Linked DNA regions of Rattus norvegicus. The protein of the gene in region 5 interacts with the protein of the main gene of each other region in a biochemical or structural test. Links are inferred from orthologs where the notes say so. Each region holds a gene or a part of one and is shown on either strand. Other genes may lie near its edges. The genes, in order: Rgs4, Plcb1, Grk2, Ric8a and Gnaq.

What was found.
Region 1: the proteins of Gnaq (region 5) and Rgs4 form a complex in vitro, tested with the Homo sapiens proteins (3 studies listed by BioGRID). The link is inferred for Rattus norvegicus from reciprocal best matches to the Homo sapiens genes GNAQ and RGS4.
Region 2: the proteins of Gnaq (region 5) and Plcb1 form a complex in vitro, tested with the Homo sapiens proteins (2 studies listed by BioGRID, with this or other methods). The link is inferred for Rattus norvegicus from reciprocal best matches to the Homo sapiens genes GNAQ and PLCB1.
Region 3: the proteins of Gnaq (region 5) and Grk2 form a complex in vitro, tested with the Homo sapiens proteins (3 studies listed by BioGRID). The link is inferred for Rattus norvegicus from reciprocal best matches to the Homo sapiens genes GNAQ and GRK2.
Region 4: the proteins of Gnaq (region 5) and Ric8a form a complex in vitro, tested with the Homo sapiens proteins (2 studies listed by BioGRID). The link is inferred for Rattus norvegicus from reciprocal best matches to the Homo sapiens genes GNAQ and RIC8A.

The regions. Positions count from the first base shown.
Region 1 is NC_086031.1:84,469,087-84,472,892, reverse strand, and holds the end of Rgs4 (regulator of G-protein signaling 4), read left to right. Parts: intron 1-286; coding exon 287-453; intron 454-869; coding exon 870-1,109; 3' UTR 1,110-3,300; downstream 3,301-3,806. UniProt on the Homo sapiens protein: Inhibits signal transduction by increasing the GTPase activity of G protein alpha subunits thereby driving them into their inactive GDP-bound form. Activity on G(z)-alpha is inhibited by phosphorylation of the G-protein.
Region 2 is NC_086021.1:143,089,760-143,093,273, forward strand, and holds part of Plcb1 (1-phosphatidylinositol 4,5-bisphosphate phosphodiesterase beta-1), read left to right. Parts: intron 1-631; coding exon 632-796; intron 797-1,482; coding exon 1,483-1,582; intron 1,583-2,758; coding exon 2,759-2,863; intron 2,864-3,514.
Region 3 is NC_086019.1:211,009,748-211,014,016, reverse strand, and holds the end of Grk2 (beta-adrenergic receptor kinase 1), read left to right. Parts: intron 1-128; coding exon 129-195; intron 196-486; coding exon 487-587; intron 588-1,242; coding exon 1,243-1,309; intron 1,310-1,388; coding exon 1,389-1,484; intron 1,485-1,742; coding exon 1,743-1,905; intron 1,906-2,052; coding exon 2,053-2,189; intron 2,190-2,278; coding exon 2,279-2,392; intron 2,393-2,471; coding exon 2,472-2,636; 3' UTR 2,637-3,758; downstream 3,759-4,269. UniProt on the Homo sapiens protein: Specifically phosphorylates the agonist-occupied form of the beta-adrenergic and closely related receptors, probably inducing a desensitization of them. Key regulator of LPAR1 signaling.
Region 4 is NC_086019.1:205,363,470-205,367,601, forward strand, and holds the start of Ric8a (synembryn-A), read left to right. Parts: upstream 1-1,326; 5' UTR 1,327-1,557; coding exon 1,558-1,641; intron 1,642-1,830; exon of another isoform or gene 1,831-1,929; coding exon 1,930-1,977; intron 1,978-2,066; coding exon 2,067-2,657; intron 2,658-2,953; coding exon 2,954-3,045; intron 3,046-3,516; coding exon 3,517-3,667; intron 3,668-4,132. Other genes in the region: Bet1l (BET1-like protein), read right to left, coding at 305-323.
Region 5 is NC_086019.1:222,939,453-222,942,966, reverse strand, and holds part of Gnaq (guanine nucleotide-binding protein G(q) subunit alpha), read right to left. Parts: coding exon 3,340-3,514; intron 3,334-3,339; exon of another isoform or gene 1-3,333.

The DNA.
Region 1 (3,806 bases), on a different chromosome or scaffold from region 5:
AACCATACCCCCCCCCTCTCTCTCTTTCTCTCTGTCATCATTTATCTCACACACACACACACACACACACACACACACACACACACACTCATGTACCACACACACACACTCATGCACCACACACACACACTCATGCACCACACACACACACTCATGCACCACATACACACACACACACACACACACACACACACACACACACACACACACACACACTGAGGATAGTATTACTCAGCATAAGACAAGCCATTTCTGGGTAACTTTGGTTCTTTGTCCTTTGTCACAGGTGGACTGGCAGCTTTCAAAGCTTTCCTGAAGTCAGAATACAGTGAGGAGAACATTGACTTCTGGATCAGCTGTGAGGAGTACAAGAAAATCAAATCACCTTCTAAACTAAGTCCCAAGGCCAAGAAGATCTACAATGAGTTCATCTCTGTGCAGGCAACAAAAGAGGTATGTTTCCATGGCAGAGAACTTTCTAGATCTTAGTGGGAATTCATAGGAGAGGCATTCAGGGGCAGAAATCTTTAGATCTACTAAAGGAGCAATAGGACTGGCTATTATAATCTTGACATTTCAAGTAAGTCTATTAGGAAAAAAGCCATTTTGTCTATGTGATCTCAATGACTCTCCTTAATAAATATAATTATAAATCTCTCAAATGAGAGAGTAAAGGAAAGGGAAGTGCTCTTTCCACTTCAGGGCAGAGCTGACCTTTTATACACATATGCCAGGGCACACCCAAATGTCCCGGGTTTCACTCCTGGGAGGAAGGTAAAGAAAGGGTCCTGGCTACTCCTTTTTGAATGTAAGCCTCCTCTCTTCAACAGAGCTCTAGCTCTAATGCAACCTTGGTCTTTGCACTTTAGGTGAACCTGGATTCTTGCACCAGAGAGGAGACAAGCCGGAACATGTTAGAGCCCACGATAACCTGTTTTGATGAAGCCCAGAAGAAGATTTTCAACCTGATGGAAAAGGATTCATACCGTCGTTTCCTCAAGTCTCGATTCTATCTTGACCTGACCAATCCTTCCAGCTGCGGGGCAGAGAAGCAGAAAGGAGCCAAGAGTTCTGCAGACTGCACTTCCCTAGTCCCTCAGTGTGCCTAATTCTCACACAGAGGCAGAGAACCGAAATGCCAAGACTCTATGCTCTGGAAAACCTGAGGCCAAATATTGATCTGTATTAAGCATCAATGCTTTCTCCACATTGTAGCCTAGTATCCATGCTGCCTGCCGTGTGTGAGTCACTTCCATGTAAAACTAGACTTAGCTGTGGTGTGGGGGTTTTCATTGGGGTAAGACCCAACTTGTTTTCAATTTTCCCAAGTTTCCTTAAAGGGTGTCAGGTGAGCAAGTCTCCAAATAATGGCCCTGTAGGTCTGGATTTTCAAAGATGGTTAGTAGTCCACCCCTTCCAACAGTTTGACCTCAAGTTAGTTGGTACACTTCATGTGATGTCACATGCACATGCAATGTCAGCCAGCAGCACTTCCTACAGACTTTCAACGTTTAGGTGATATTTGTGTATGTGTATGTATATATTAAATATATAGAACATATGCATATACATTCTGTATATATTATATCTATGTATTCAGTATGTGTGAATGTGCATGAATATATATATATATGCATATATATATTTGTATATGTTCACACATGCACACACATTTCTTCAAGAAAAGATGGGAAAGATCCTTGGTGCTCAAATTGGAGTGTGTACACATGCTTGCATGCATGTTCTGACTTCTGGTCCTTCATACTGTGTCTGAACAGGGCAAACTAAATTAACTGCCATGCAGGCTAAGAAAGGAACACTAACTTGTAAAAAGTGAGTTCCGTCAAGCCACTGGGTCTTGATGGAGCATAGTCAGGGCCTTTGTGTTTAATCTCGTCAATGGCCTCCACATTGAGCACTGAGCTATGGGGTGAGTACTCCGAAAACTCTGCTGTCTGACTGACACAGAGCTGCCTCGCACCGGTGATTACTACTAGCACTTTTAAGTCCCTATGCTGTTGGCCATCCCTCCTTTGCCTGGGTGCTCAGGGCATGCTGACTAGCAGCTGGGTTGGTCTGGAGATGGATGTTTGAGAGGAATGAAGGAATGCGGTCCAGGCCTTGTTGCCTAGCCCTACAAATGACTACTGCTTAGGTGAGGGCAGAAGACCCCGAGGTTATCTTAATTCTTTCCTCTCTTGATAAGGTGCTCTCCTATTCCTACCCCCAAAGAACGTCACCTGTCAGATGAGCCTCTTTACTTCCCCGTGGTTGGTTGCTCACGTTAGGAACCATGGCCACCTGCAAGTCATTCTAAGCTACCCGCTTACATTTTTCAAAAGCATCACCAGGGGGAAAGGTTATGCTGTCCCAGGAGGAAGTAAGCTCTTATGAGCTGTAAACCCCTTTTTGGTTTTCTGCTTTGAGGTAAGAGCTTGTTCATCCCATCCCAAACACCAAAGTTAGCAGAGACCAACGGAAGGAGAGAGGAAAGAAAAAAAAAAGAAAGAGAAGAGAAAAGAGGAGGACGGGATATCAGTTGGTAGGACTACTGTTTGGAGCTTTTTAAGGCACGTGAAATACTTGAAAATTTCTCATTTGTGTTATTTATGTTGTTTTGTACAATGTTTTTATTACTGTATTGTTTTATAAATGGAGGTACAGGATATTACCCGAATTATTAATGAATGCCCAAGAAGTAATTTTCTTCTCATTCCTCTAAAAGTCCTGCCTTTGAGAGCGCACACAGACTCGTGCATACTGCAGGCACAGCTCCAGTTTAAATTCCATGCATGAGCACCATTGTGGCTGCAAAGTGAAGACACTCATAGTGTGAATCCAAGTCTCACCATTATTGAAGAAGTCAGTTTTCTAACAGTACTGTTGTCTCTCTTGACAGTCTTGCGTATAATATCCCCAGAGCTCCCCCATCAGTGGTCCTAACTCCTTTTTGTAATACACAAGTCCACAGTCGTGTCTGTATAACTCTCCGGTCTTGCCCTAATATTATCATGACTTTGAGATTGTACCTGTACTCCCAGACTGCTGTCTCACAAATAGGTCTGGGAAAAGTCATTCTGAATGAGAAGTAAATTATTTTATGTAATACATCTTGAGTGTGTCTTCAGTTGTATTTGCCATCGCTCTTTGGTCTGGCGAGCCTGCCTGCTGCTGGCCCCTGCAAAGGACGCTCCTTCCAGATGCATGTCTGTTTCTGCCATGTGCTTTATAGGCCTCAGCGCTGATGCTTCCAATGAAACACATAGATCTGAATGATAACAGGAAATAAATGCTTCCTACAAAACAATCTGCTTGGAAACACATTAATGATCCAGAGAGGCAATGCCGTGAGAAACAGCGGGGCATAGGATGCCTTTACAAAATGACTCACAGGGAGTCTTCTATCCCTCCCCTGCCAACTCCAGAAAGGAAAGTAGAAGTTGTATTGTTTAGGCTTAGGCCCCTTTCACTGTTCTGCCTGCTTCTGCTCCCAGGTCCCTGGCTGTTCTAGGTTTGAAGACTAGGCAACTTTAGTGTACTGCAGATCTTCAATTTGGTTGGGGGGAGAAAATACCCCAAACTAAAACAAAATAAAACAAACAAACAAAAAACCCCAACGAAACAAAACAATACCACCAAAAAACAAAAATATCAGAATAAGAAAAGAAACCAGATCAACAACAGTAACCAATGGGGTCTCACTCAGGCTGTCCTCCACTGGTTATAACTTAACTGTGAAGACTAGTTTGGGCTCAAATTCATGGAGATCCTCCTACCTCGACTTCTCAAGTCTTAGGGTGACTGGT
Region 2 (3,514 bases), on a different chromosome or scaffold from region 5:
CAGTGTTCTGAGCTCACCCATGACAGACAGGGACAGGACTTCGAAGATGATGTTTGGATGAGAAATCCAGCCCAGCGGCAGGAGCATAAGTGGTGGGAGCCAAGAAAGGACAAAGACCCTGCTGATGTGGTCAGAGATTCTGAAGGAGTCAGGGAGGCAGGAACCTGGGAATCTCGCTGAGTGGTCCACGGTTATTGTGTCCATTAACCTTTATGGCAGGTCCCCAAGATATTGATGACTAGATTATAGCTAGACTAAAACATGGGAACTGTTATAGGAATATGTAGACTTAACTCTTACTTAACAATATGACACAGACTAATTATTTAGCTAGACAACGGAGGCCCACAGTTCTGCAGATGGCAAACTGGATGAGGAGAGAGGTCATGATTACTCGGTGACTTCCAAGGATGCTATTCATTTATTGCTCCCATTCTACTTCATCTGATTGGCTACTAACCTCCCCATTCTCAGTCTCCTCAATCAACTCCTTAAGTGGAAGAGCAATGGCATTTCTATTCTTCCTTGTATTTCATCGTACGATTTCCCACTCAGGAAACTCTTGGACCACCTTAGAGTTGTCCCCCGATGCTTTGTTACTCATGGCTCAAGACTTCTTGATATTTTCTAGATTATTTCAGGTCAGTTTCTCTCTGATAAGAAAGTTGGGACTTATGTGGAAGTGGATATGTTTGGTTTGCCTGTGGACACAAGAAGGAAGGCATTTAAAACCAAGACATCCCAAGGAAATGCTGTAAATCCTGTCTGGGAAGAAGAGCCAATTGTATTCAAAAAGGTGGGTCTCATGCTTGCTGTGAGAGGCAAATTTTTCTGGGTGCTTTAAACAGAGGAAAAACAAAGCAGTTATTTGGTTATGGGTGCATTTTGGAGGTTATCATAAAGGCTTTAATTTTATTTTTTAGTATTTAGCATTATTTAATTGTATAAATGTCTACCCTGTGTATAAATTTGTGCAGCACATCCTGGTGCCTAGGATATCAGAAGAGCCAGGTAGGGCTCCTACAAATAGAGTTATCGACCCTTGTAAGCTGCTGTGTGGGTGCTAGGAACTGAACCTGAATTCTCTTCAAGAGCAACAAATATTCTTAACCTCCGAGACTTATTCCCAGCTCCTATTTTTAGGTATTGATTTAATATATCACAATCATTTCCTGTGAAAACCTACACGAGTAATGATGTGACCCTCTATCTGAGTTCGTGGAACTTTCCTCATTAATGATGTATGTGTAATAACAGGTACCCTTTCGTTCAATGCTCCTCAAATGGTACTAAGCACAGAGGGACACCCAAATGCAGTCCCGTGTCTTTTCTTATTTCACAGAGAGGCAACTTAACTTTTTACTTAAATTGACTGAGTAGATACTCAGCTTTGGGAAAAGCAGGGACAGTTTTTCTAGTACTTCTCTAGTTCTTTCTAGGGTTTGCTTACTCTTGTAACCAGAATCCTTTCTATCCCCACAGGTAGTTCTGCCTTCTCTGGCCTGTTTAAGGATAGCAGCATATGAGGAAGGAGGCAAATTTATTGGCCACCGGATCTTGCCTGTGCAAGCAATTCGGCCAGGTATGCATAATGTGGTGAGAGATTTCCATTAAACAATGACTTAGGAGCTGTTGCTCCTCTGTGATTGTGCTGAATGGTGGGGGCGTAAGAATTGTTCCAATCAGTCTGGTAGTTGTGTATGTTTGTCATGGTGCTGTGTTGTCAAAGCCAACTTTGATTGTAATACATGTGTAACAAGCTGCTTGGAAGCTCACATGCATGAGTCACGGGTCCCGATTCATGAGTCTCGTGGGTTAGTACTGTGTATTAGCTTCTTTTTACTACTATAATGAAAATACCTGACTCAGACTACTTTATAAAGAAAAGAAGTTTATTTCACTCAGTCCGGAAAGCTACCAAGGTCACAATCTGATCATTTCATCAACTTCTCCTCTGGTCAACGCCTAATAGTGGAGGCTTGCTAGAGGAAGTGGGGGTGAGGGGTCACCTCACCAGACAGGAAACCAGAGAACTAGGTAAGGTCACACTCAGTCTTTTTAATGAGACTATCTCTCAGAAACCATCTCTGGCAAGACCAAGTAGCACAGGCCTATGACTCCAGCTGTGCAGAGGGGAGCAGCTGGATGATCCCACAGCCTCCAACATGGGAGCCTGTGTGGTAAAGCCACAGAATAAAGATCGACTGGAATAGCCTGAGCTCATGGAAGACCAAGCACATTGGCCACAGTATAAAAATTGACTGGGCTATCCTGAGCTCAGTGGCATAGTTGTGCTTTTGGGGTGCCATTTGGGTTCATTATTGTTCCATGTGTGCTCATTTTGGGGTGCATGCTGAAGTAGTGGTGGCATCCAATCTAGGGATTTCCTTTTCCTAACCCACAAGGATATTAAAGGTGCCTAACTCAACATGTGTGCATTCATTCTTTGCTTGCCCCAAACCACTAATGTCTCATGGACAAAACAGATCCCCAGTCATGAAACCATGTCAAGTATGACTTATTATAGAAGACACATTTGGACCAATAATTTGGACCACTGGAGCATACAGTTTGGAAGGGGAAATGTGGTGAGAACAGAAAAAAAAAAAACAAAAATAAAAACAGAGTCAGCAGTGTTCAAATTGTGTGATTAAGCTGAGAAGGGAGTGGACTGTTTGTCGAGCACCATGGGTATGAATGGATATAGCTAGCATTGTGAAACCAACAGATGACACTTGGTGTCCTTGTCTCCCTGCAGGCTATCACTACATCTGCCTGCGGAATGAGAGGAACCAGCCCCTGATGCTGCCAGCTGTCTTTGTCTACATAGAAGTCAAAGACTATGTCCCAGACACGTATGCAGGTAAACAGTGCTACCTGGGTCATCTGCATCTCCATGGCTGGATGGAAGGCCAACTGGGCCAATGCTGGGGCACTGTGGGCCTCATAAGCACAACTTCTTGTGTGTAGATGCTTAACGGTCAGTCATTTGAGCCTCTCCATGTCCATTAGAATCCTACTCTTTCAGTGTTTAGTCTATTTCTACATAGGCAGTCTTATCCCTGTAGGAAAAAACACTCCCCAACCCTTGCTGCCCCTTCCACTGTTGTTAATCTAGGTCTGTACAGTGAATTTGCCTTCGCTCGTAGCAGATCTCTAGTCAATTCTATGGATGGAGTTCTAAATTAACAGGAATTAACTTAACCAGAAGTTAACATTTTAAAATGATTTGTTTGTTTTTTGCTTTGTTTGGTTTGTTTTAATTACCATGGGTCCTGGGAGTGAAGATACTGGCCATTGGCAGACACTGTGACAAACTTGGAACGCATATTTCTGGCCCAAAGATGGACAGCTATAACTGTCTCTACCTAGCCATTGCCATGCACATGACACTCAAATTGCCAATCTTTGGGTTGTTCTAATAATCTGGAAGACAGACTTTATGGGAAGAGTCTATGAAACACATTTAACCAACTAAGCCAAGTGTGAAGGCCATTGCTGGGATAGACAAAAT
Region 3 (4,269 bases), about 12 Mb from region 5:
GAGGGGAGCCCTCTATGGCCTGGGTATTAGAGGTGGAGCCTCCCTTATCTCTTACCAGCCTCATCCATCATTCTTCCTCACTTTTCCCATTCTTGTTTTTTGACATTGGTCTTTGACCTCTTGTCCAGACACAGCCCCTTCCGGCAGCACAAGACCAAAGACAAGCATGAGATTGACCGCATGACATTGACAATGGTAAGTGTAAGAGTGCAGTGAAGGTGCATGTGATGCCAGAAGCATAAACTCCTGGTTCTCTCTAGCCAGCAGAGCTCTTGAGCCAGTCATCCCTTCTCTGTCCCTTCCTTAAGGGATAGGCTTCTTGCCCTGTAGCCTCTTGCCTTGTTTATGATGTCAGAGCTCACACTTGGTGAGAACCAGTAGGAAGCTGGGCCTCATCTCCTTCTGCTGGCCTCTCACCCTCCCCCAGAACCAAGGGCTCACTCTTCCTGGCTTCTGTTGACACCCTCCTTCTCTTTGTCCTGAAAGGCTGTTGAGCTGCCTGACTCCTTCTCCCCTGAACTCCGATCCCTGCTGGAAGGTTTGCTGCAGAGGGATGTCAATCGGAGACTAGGCTGTCTGGGCCGTGGGTGAGCATTCTGACCTCTCCACCATGTGGACTTCCTCAGTCTTTGCTGTGGTCTGTTGGACCAGCCTGGTTGGCCTCTGGCTGTGCCCCCTTAGAACAGTGGCTGTGTCCCCTCATTTAAACCCCTCCATGGAGCTCACAAGGGAGGTCATGGCCCTATGCCCTGAAGGTAGCAGGGCAGCTGAGTGTGTCACAGTTCGAATCAACTGAGGATGGGCTTTCAAAGGGTTCAGAGAAAATCTTTGTAGCAAAGACTATTTTTTTTTTTTTTGCATAGGGGGGAGGGTATTTTTTGAGACAAGGTTTCATGTAAGCCAGGTTAGTCTTACTCTGTAGTTGAGGCTGGCCTTGAACACGTCTGCCTCTGATTAAAGGCATGTACCACCACACCCAGCTTAATAGCAACTTTGTAGGTCTACCGGGATATCTGTTAATTATCAGACAAAGTAGTATTAAAACTCACATCAACCCCAGGATGTGAGAGCTGCTTCTCCCATTTAGAGATGAGCAAATTGGCTGAGAGTTCCAGAACTTGCCTAAGGTCACAGACCAAAAGGTAGCTGAGTCAGGAGTCAGACCTAAGCTGGTGACCCCACAGTTTGGACCTAGCTCATCGTGGGTAGTGCAGAGCCCAGGTGACGGGTGTTTCTCCATAGGGCTCAAGAGGTAAAAGAAAGCCCCTTCTTCCGTTCCCTGGACTGGCAGATGGTCTTCTTACAGAAGGTAAAAGTCTATCCAGGGGTAGGATGGGAAACCCCATGGCCCCTCACCCATGCTGATGCTCAGCCTCTGCTCTGCACAGTACCCTCCTCCACTGATCCCCCCACGCGGGGAGGTGAATGCAGCGGACGCCTTTGACATTGGCTCCTTTGATGAGGAGGACACAAAAGGAATCAAGGTATGCACCTTGCTTGGCCCTGACCCCTGGACCTGGTCTGGTCTGGTCTGGTCTGGATGGCCCTTGCCCCTTCTCTGCCCCTGTGAGACACTGGCTACCCTGTGAGCCATGGGCCATACTTCCCCATCCCCCAGCCTCCCTGGGGAGGGTGGTTTCATGAGACGATCCCTAGCTTAGGGCCCTACACAGGCCTGTGACTGATAATGTCCTGGCACCCTTTGTCTATCCATGTGCTCCTGCCATGTCCACCTGGTGAAGTTACTGGACAGTGACCAGGAACTGTACCGCAACTTCCCTCTCACCATCTCTGAGCGGTGGCAACAGGAGGTGGCAGAGACTGTCTTTGATACCATCAATGCTGAGACAGACCGGCTGGAGGCACGGAAGAAAGCCAAAAACAAACAGCTGGGCCACGAGGAGGGTGAGGACTTAAGACCGTGGGGGAAGCCCGGCCTGTTGCACACTGCAGAAATGAGAAGCGGGCTCTGCTAAGAAACTGACCAAGACCACAGCCAGCAAGTGTCTGGGTGGGGGTGGGGTATTGAGCCTGCACCCATCTCTTGTACAGACTACGCCCTGGGTAAGGACTGCATCATGCATGGCTACATGTCCAAGATGGGCAACCCCTTCCTGACCCAGTGGCAGCGGCGATACTTCTACCTGTTCCCCAACCGGCTTGAGTGGAGGGGTGAAGGCGAGGCTCCGGTAAGAAAGGTTCTGCTAGGACGTGGTGTGGGTACTGGGTGGGTTTCAGGGCCTTCCTTCACAGCCTGCTCTGTCTTCCCACCTTGCAGCAGAGCCTCCTGACCATGGAAGAGATCCAGTCGGTGGAAGAGACACAGATCAAGGAACGCAAGTGTCTCCTGCTTAAGATCCGAGGTGGCAAGCAGTTTGTCCTGCAGTGTGATGTAAGAGCGGGGGAGGGGAGGTTAGGGTGCGGGTGGGTGGGTGGGTGCCAGCAGAGACTGACAGCCTGGATGTGTACAGAGTGACCCTGAGCTGGTGCAATGGAAAAAAGAGCTGCGCGATGCTTACCGTGAGGCCCAGCAGCTGGTGCAGCGAGTGCCCAAGATGAAGAACAAGCCACGCTCACCTGTGGTGGAGCTGAGCAAGGTGCCACTGATTCAGCGTGGCAGTGCCAACGGCCTCTGATTCACCCATCTGCTGCCCGCCTGCCCACCCGCCTTTTATAAACCTCTAATTTATTTTGTTGAATTTTTATTATTTGTTTTCCCGCAAAGCGGAAAAGGTTTTATTTTGTAATTATTGTGATTTCCTGTGGCCCCAGCCTGGCCCAGCCCCCAGGGAGGGGCCTGCTTGCCTCAGCTCCTGCTGCCACCAACCCAGCCACTGTCTAGCACCCCTGCCCCGCCCCCACCGCATCCCCCTAGGGTCCTTGCTCCCAGTATCTTCCTACTGGGAAGAGGAGCAACCCTCAGCAGCCCTCTTGCCCCTCCATGGGGTGAAGCCACAGTCGGTGGGTGTGTCACTTCAGGCTCTGTGGGCTACACTCAGCCTGAGGCCCAGCTGGGTGGCCCAGCACCCCTACCCTAGGAAGGTGCAACACAGGGATACTACTTGAACTTTCCTATCATAGCTCCCATGCCACAGAGGGACAGACCTCTCTGTCCTGCCCTCTTGCCACTGGTGAGAGAAGGCCCTTGTCTCCCCAGACTTGGCGGTCTCCCACAGTGACGGGCTCCTGGGTCCTTGTTTAGGAAAAGCCTGTGTGTGACACCTGCCTCATCAGGAGGCTGCCATTGGCAGTGGCTGCTGCTGGCCTCCCTGCAAGTCCCCTCTTCCCATTGCGTGCCTGGACTCAGGAGCATAGAAAAACGACTGTAGATTGTTGGGCCACACTGGCCTAGCCTGAACCTAGATCCCTAACTCTGGGCTGGGTGAGGCTCATCTGCCCAGGACCACAGTGGGACAGCCTGGGCAGGTGGGTGGCACAGCATAAGAACCCAGCTGGGGCCGGCCCTCCCTGTCCTGGCTGGTCAGTGTGCCCCCACCCACACTGTCCAGCCCCCTAGCCCATGTCATGTCAGTGGCCACCATCCACAGGTGCCACCTTGCCCACCGCATGCCCCCTTGTGCCAGTCGCGCAGCTGTGTGTGGTGTCGCGCCCTCTCCCTCTGGGGCTGGGTGGGCGCACCCTCCCCTATTGTCTACTCACTCCTGGGGCGTTTCTTTGCCGATTTTTGAATGTGATTTTAAAGAGTGGAAAATGAGACTATGCGTTTTTATAAAAAATGGTGCCTGACTCCTTGCTGTCTCAGACTCTTTGTGTCTGGTGACCACTTTTCAGTCACTTCAGTCTGGGGCCTGAAAGGAGAGGATCTTAGTAACCATCCTTCCCTCCCTAGAGGAGTAGACTATTCTGTCCACCTCCCAGATAAGCAGGAGTGATAAGCAGGAGTGGCCCGTAGTCCATGTCAGCTGTCATGTTTGGAATAGCTGGGGACATATTGGTCTTAGCAAGTCCCCCTGCACATCAAGCACTGCGTTAATCCCCTTTTTCTCCTCCACACTGCATCTCTGGGCCTTTGACTGTGTCTAGCATTGCTCTCTCTGTGGCCTCACTATGTAACCTGTACCGGGGTCTCTGGGCTTGAGTACCTCAGCATCAAGTCTACCTTTCCTGAGAATGAACTATCTTTTTCCTGTGTCTTTGCTCCAGGCCATTGCAGCCAGTGACAACATGTAAGCACCACTGTCCTCCCTGTTCAGTGCACAGAGGAGACAGTTCTGGGGCAGATACTGTGGGGTCTTGGATGAAGTGGCA
Region 4 (4,132 bases), about 18 Mb from region 5:
TCAGTATCACAACTGTCAGACTGAACACAGGCACGGGGGCGGAGGGTGTGTGTGAAACGAGGCACTTGAGCCCTGTAAGTCCCTGCTTGGACCTTCTGCTTCCAGCCCTTGGCATCAACCATACACACAAACTGATGTCATGCCGGCTTGGGTTCCAAGGCAGTGCCAGTTGAAATCTGGCCCTGTTTTTCCTGGAATACGTAAGCGCCATCCCACGCAGATCCCTCCACCGAGGAAAAATTGATGGCTCGTACTCCAGACTTAGACCTTGCCTCCTATCCCAACTACCTTCAGGTGCGCTCACCTCGAGTCCAATCTGCCATCGCGCCTTCCGAGGTCCCACTCGGGGAGTAGGCAACACAGCGACGGACGTGGCACCACTACCTGGGTCTTCCGGTTCCGCCTCAGGTCTAATAACTTCCGGGAGAAGAGTCTGAAGCGGAAGAAACAGACTTGTAGTTCTACACTGGAATGTAAATAAGGGAAGGGCGGGCCGCCAGCATTCGGGCCTACGGATTGGTCAGCAGTATTAGTCCCGCGCTGTGGGTATTACCCGGAGCAGGAGCTCAGACCCCAACCTGGAGCCGAGGGTCGGGTACCTCGGGCGCTGCAAAGTCCCCAAGTGAGAACGACAGGATGGGGAGGACGAGCAGAAGCGAAAGAGACTGGCAAAGGACCTGACACTGAGTAGAGGCAAGCGCCGGTTAGCACAGCGGGCGGCATTATCCTCTGGAACATTGCTTGTGTCACCGTGGGGTGCACCGACTCTGCCTTAAGCTAAGTGGCATGCAGACCTGGCTCCCCACTATACAACGTTCCTACGCTTCTAACCCCAGACACGCCGCGGCTAGCCGCCCCTCCGTTGCTCCTCCCGCGGGAGTCGCTTTTCCACCGGTGTTCTTCACTTCCTTCTCTCCGATCCTTCCTCATACACTCTGCAATTGCCCTTTTCTTTTGATAACCACATTATTTTGGTGGTTTGGTTTTTTGATTGTTTTTAGATAGGTCTGCCCGTTTCTGCCTCTCGAGTGCTGAAATTTAAAAAAGCGTGCGTTACTATGCCCGGCTAACCACGTACATTATTTTGACCATCCAAGTCGTACTTCTCTTTCCTTATTTCCCGTGGAAGATGAGCATCAGGAAGATGACCGCGAGAATCGTCTTCCCCAACTGACTAAGCGGCCAGGAGCCGGCGCTCCCTCTTTTATCACAGTACGGGAACAAGAGTGTAAGGAGAAAGGTTTACGCGCCGGCCAAGCCACACCCCACTCCCCACCCCCGCCCGCCAGGAAGTCGGGCTAGAGAGAAGGGCTCAAAAGGAGGATACTGCTTAGTTAGCTAGCATCGCTGCTCCAAGACAAGCCGCTCAGCGGCCACAGCCGGGTTGCTCCACCTTAAGCCGGAGGCCAGCCCCGCGCCTGTACACACCCTAGGCTCGGCTGTTCTCCCAGCATTCCTCACGCGTGGACGCTGGGCTTCCGGACCTGGGCGGAGTCCCCGGGTTTGGCCGATTGCGTCTTCCCAGCCCAAGTCTTCTAGCACCCCGTGCCAGGGGCCATGGAGCCCCGGGCAGTTGCGGATGCCTTGGAGACGGGAGAGGAAGATGCGGTGACAGAAGCTCTGCGGTCGTTTAACCGAGAGGTGAGAGGCATCCAGCTGCCGAGGAAATTGCAGGAAGTGAGGAAGCAGCCGGTTGCTCGCCACTCGGCTGGGGTGTGCGTGCGAGTGTGGCAGGGAGCAGGGCGGTGGGTGGTGGGCTGGGCCACGGCGGTGCCTCTGTGGTAGTCAGGTGTATGGGTGGCGAGGGTGGGCCTTGCTTTACGTACACAGCGATGGCTGCTGCTTCAGAGGTAGAAGCAGACCTGCTGCTTCTCGAGGAGCACAGGTCCTACCTGCGTGTGGAACTGAGCTTCCTGGGTCTCCCTGCAGCATTCCCAGAGCTTCACCTTCGATGATGCACAGCAGGAGGACAGGAAGGTAGGTGTCAGCCCAAGGGGGTTCCTAGGGCAAGCACGGGCTGCCCCAAGAAGAGGGCCTAGTGGAACCATTTTTGTCCCTTCCCACAGAGACTCGCAAAGCTGCTGGTCTCCGTACTGGAGCAGGGCTTGTCACCAAAACACCGTGTCACCTGGCTGCAGACTATCCGAATCCTATCCCGAGACCGCAGCTGCCTGGACTCATTTGCTAGCCGCCAGAGTTTACACGCACTAGCCTGCTATGCCGACATTGCCATCTCAGAGGAGCCCATCCCACAGCCCCCAGACATGGATGTCCTCCTCGAGTCTCTCAAATGCCTGTGTAATCTTGTGCTCAGCAGTCCTACAGCACAGATGCTAGCAGCAGAGGCTCGACTGGTGGTGAGGCTAGCGGAACGTGTGGGACTGTACCGCAAAAGGAGCTATCCCCACGAAGTCCAGTTCTTTGACTTAAGGCTCCTTTTCCTGCTAACAGCCCTTCGCACTGATGTGCGCCAGCAGCTGTTTCAGGAGCTGCATGGCGTGCGCCTGCTGACCGATGCGCTGGAACTGACATTGGGTGTGGCCCCCAAAGAAAACCCTCTGGTGATACTTCCAGCCCAAGAGACAGAGCGGGCCATGGAAATCCTCAAAGTGCTCTTTAACATCACCTACGACTCTGTTAAGAGGGAGGTTGATGAGGTAGGTTGTAGTCTGAAGTCAATGGGTGGGACTCAGCTCAGCTGGGGCATTTTGTGGGTTTGCTTCCCTGTGTGCCTCAAGTTGCAGGGTGTCGGATATGGCAAGGACTAGAGGACAATCTAGGCAGGAACTCAAGGTTTCTGAGCTGTGTTGTGCATGGGGCTGGGGACGGGTATTCTCCATAATGCTTCAGGTGACCAAGTGTGCTGTGGACAGGGCCTAGTGATCACCATGTGGCCTTGGGTCATAAGAATAGGGTCTTATTCTCACGGGAGCCCCTTTCCGTCTTTGGCTAGGAGGACGCTGCCCTTTACCGGTACCTGGGGACCCTTCTGCGGCACTGTGTGATGGCTGATGCTGCTGGAGACCGCACAGAGGAGTTCCATGGGTGAGGAGCAGGACTTACTATGTTGGGGATGGCAGGAGTTGCCTAGGTATGGGTACAGAAGTCCTTAACCCTAGCTGTGACTCAAGCACCTGGGAGCCCGGGCCCCACCTTTGAGTGTGACATCATGGGGAACGGGATCCCGGTGTGTTTTCAGAGAGCCTAGGGAACTCAGGGTATGACTAAGAAGAGTTTTGAACTTAGAGACAGGGCCTTAGGTGGAGGCCGCATGGTCTCTTGCTGGTGCCTCAGCCAGTCTCTCGAAACTGAGAGATTGCTTGGCATCTCAGCTCAGACAGAATGGTGCAGATAGAGTCTACAGTGTTTCCCCACCAAACTCGAGTTGGGGTACCAACTGCCCTTGCCTCAGTGCTATCCTTCGGGCCCACATATCATGTGTACCCCAGGAGAAGGGCCAGGGATTGTATCTGTGCTAAATATGGTTACTGTGTCAAGGCCTCTGTCTGTCCCCAGCCACACCGTGAATCTCCTGGGGAACCTGCCCCTCAAATGTTTGGATGTCCTTCTCGCTCTGGAGCTACACGAAGGATCCTTAGAGTTTATGGGAGTTAATATGGATGTGATCAATGCCCTCCTTGCCTTCCTAGAGAAGCGTCTGCACCAGGTAGGAGGGGGACCTGCTATGTGGATGCCCAGGGGCTTGGGTACCAGTTATGGCTACTGTTTCTGCACCATTGGTACTGGCAAGTAGAGCTCAGCTTGATGGTATATCCAGGACAGGTCTTCTGATTCTCCGTGGTATAGCTAGATGGTGGCCGCTCAGTCAGGTCCTCTCAGAAGCTTGCGGACACACCATGTGTGTGAACCCTGCTGCTGCTGATTACCAAAGAAAAACAAGCCTCTCAGGGTCTACTAAGGTGACAGTTACCTTTTAGGTCTCTGTGGTCCTGTTAAGTGGTTCTCAGAAGCCTTTGGTTCTTGCTTGTGACCCTCAGCCTCCAACTGTTTCTATATATAGGCAGCCAGAGGTGACATCAGTTTTGTCCCTCTGCATTTTTTATTTTTTATGTTTTTTTTTTTTTTTTTTGAGACAGTAGCCCTGGCTGTCCTACAACTCACTCTGTAGACC
Region 5 (3,514 bases):
AAGAGCCAGTGCCAGTCTATTGTTGCACTCTTTCCTCACTTCAGTCCTCTCCTGTCTGTTTTAAAAGAGGGATCAGCACAAGGGAACTATCAGAAGGGACTTCAGATTGTCTAGTTCATCACCTGCTTTAATTTCTTAAGACTGCTTTAGAAAATGCCACATGCTCAAATTCCCTCCTGTTGTGAACGTGTCCAGGTGAGGAGTGCTCTGTGCCCCTTTCGGCATCCCATCCCAACAGCCATCACTCCAAGGATTGCTTTCCTCTACTTGACACTGCCAAAAAGTGTAAAGGTATTTCCCGTGTATTATCTTTTGAACTTTGAAACCATCTTATTATTTGTCCCACTCCCACACATGAGAAAATTCAGGCCTAGAAAATTCAGGCCTAGACTATGAAGAAATGAAGATATCTTAACAAATGTAAAGACTGCCAGATTCTTTGGCTTTTCCTTGCTAGGACTCAGATGCTGGTATGGAGTCACTGCAGAGCAAACCGAGAGCAGATAGCTGTCACTGAGTCAGTAGCCTCTTTAAGTCCCTTCCCACCCTGTAACTCAGAGTAAGTCCAGAATAAGAAATTTTATTTTAGGGTAAATGCTAAGTAAACTCAGAGGACTTGCATCTACAGAGAGTTCACATGTCATTCCATGTTATAAATCGACTGTGCACTTTTGTAGTAGACATTTGTGAGCTGGGCCAGAATTGTTCTCCTTTTTCCACTAGCAGTACCCAGATTTCCCCCAGGGACTGTCAATCACATTGACCAGACTTCCTTCCCCTGTCTAAAGAACTAGCAAAGAATCCAGACTCAGCCAATCCAACACTTTTTCCCAGGAATTCGAATCAGGAGTGAGTGCTGAAAGATTGAAATGGGCTGAAGTTCATCTCTCCCAAGCACAGTCCTTCAGCTTCTCAGGCCTCCTGTGAGCTCACGCCTCAAAAGTTTTCCTCTTCTTCCTCATCCAGTGGTTGGTTTCTACAGCCTACAAAATCTTTGGCTCCCCTCACTTTTTGACAGGCAAACCAAAACAGCAGACTGTGGGTTCTGTTTATTACACAGGTGGAAATTCCTCAATGCAATCAGTGTGTGGTCATTCTGTGAACTAAGAAAATTCCCTTGTTTTTGTTTTGTTTTGTTTTTAAGTAGCAATTTCTTATTGAGTTGATCAAAGACAGGAATAATATAGCCTTTAGAATTTTGGCTACTTTTCCTGGAAAATAGCATTGAAGATGTTGAATTTTTTTTAAAGAAAATACAAAAAATTAGAATAATTTAAACATCTTTAACAAATGCTTACATCTTAGGAGTGGATATATATATATATATTCATTCACTAAGCAAGAGAATGAGGGCTGGAGTATGTCCCTGGTACCATTCTCATTTGCCTGACGCTCATCAATTAGGCTAGCTGGCTGGCTAAGGAGTCTTTGGATCCTCCCGTCTTTGTATCTCCAATGCTGGGATTACATGCCCATGTAATAATGCCTCAGCATGTTTAGCTCAATTCTGAGGAAAGAACTTAGATCTTGAGGCTTACACGGTAAGTGCTTTACTGACTGAATCATGCCCCCAACCCTAATGAGGTACTTTCCTGTAACATGTCCTTCTTATTCTTAGCACTTATTGGTCCACTTAAGTTTCCCTCCACTCCAAATGAAAAGGAAAACCGGGTGTCATAGTGACAGCCTGTAGCTACTTAGGCAAAGGGAGCTAAAGACTGGTTGCTAAATGAGCCATCAGAACTCCAAAGACCAAACTTAGAGCCTAGGTAAGGGTGAGTATCCTTGTCAGAAAAGCTTGCACCAGAAACATTCTAGAATGCAGAGCTTTTACATATGGTAACACATGCATATACACAAGTCTCTGTGAGATGAGGCTGAAATCTAAACTAAAATTCACTTGTTTTTCATACTCATAGCCTAGTAGCACATTTTTTAGTAATTTTACTGAATTTAGACAGGGAAGGAAAGACTGAATCCTGCAAGCTATCCTTTGTCCTCCACATGATGAGATCTTAGATTTTCAGATCAAGGATGCTCAAACTATAGAATGAAAAGAAACTGAACTTGTCAGCATGAAGGTAGCACAGACTGAGTCCCCACTATCATTCCTTTTCATGTAACAGCGCCATATCAGCTGCTTTCCTCCTACAGCAACCGGCAATGGACAGACTGTAGATACTTCTGCTCTGCCTTACAGAAATCACAAATCAGCTGCACAGGGATACCAGGATCCTATCGGCAAAAGCCTCTGCTTTGTCCCTGTTTTGCTGTGGGGGGGAAATACTCCCAAAGAGCATGCTTGCTTCCTGAGACGGAGGAGACAATGCATGACATATGAAATACTACAACAGAAATACAGGAAGAACACCATCTGCCAAATTCAGGCCTTCTTTACCACGCTGCAATTCCAGACAGTTCCCTAGCCATGCTAATACAGAGGCACACTATCGCTTCCTTTTTATTAATAATCAAATTCTAGACCAAGACAGAGAGTGTAATCAGAAGAACATATCTGTGTAAGATGAATGAAATTCGTCCTTTTAGAAAGAACTAAATAAAGAACTTGTCTCGTGGTCCTACACTTTACATAAGCAGGCTTCAATAAATGACAATCTCTTTTATCGTTGGCTATGAACACGTATTCAGAGAGAAGACAAGATGGTATTTATAAATAAACTCTTTACCACTGTTTGTTCAAAAGAAATCCAAAAACATGTGCTTCCTCAGTGTGGGGTGGGTTGAAGCCCCTCACCATTATATAAACTTGCTTTTTTAGTCAAGAACTCCCAAGGACTGAACAATGGATACCTACACTCAAGGAAAAATGAATCAGAGTTTGGTAAAAGTGTGCAACTTACTGAAATGCATTACAAGCCGCTTCCTAAGTTTAGAATCCTTAGAAAAGAGTGAGGCTTATAAAAAGACACACAGTGCCATGCCATCTGGTCCACAGCTCCCTCCACAACCAGTGAAACTTCTCATTCAATGAAGCAACACTTGGGCAGTATTAAAGGAAATTCCAGTGTTGCTGTGGCACTCCAAAAAGATAGAACCACTTTTGCAACTGTGAACAATTTTCTATTATCAAACAGGCCAGGTAATAGTTAAAGTCTTTTCTTTATAACATAAACAATCCAATAAGGTGAAGAGTGAGAGAGGAAGACACTTCTAGCCTCCATAAGCCAGCATCTGTGTATCCATCCATACAGGGAGGGGAGGGAGAGGAGATGAGGTCATAAGGAGAGGGGAGGGGATAAAGTACATTCCAAATACCCACGGTCCACTCTAGAAGGGTTTAGACCCCACAGTGGCAACTGTTATAATGAGTCCACTTACCTTATTGTGTTCATACTTGTATGGGATCTTGAGAGTGTCCATAGCTCTGATCATGGCCTGCATGGCTGTAAAGATGTTCTGATACACCAGTTTGGTAAAGCCCCTCTTGTCTTCATCAGAGTACCCCGACCCGTGGATGATCCTCATCTGCTTAATGAAGGTACTCTTGCCACTC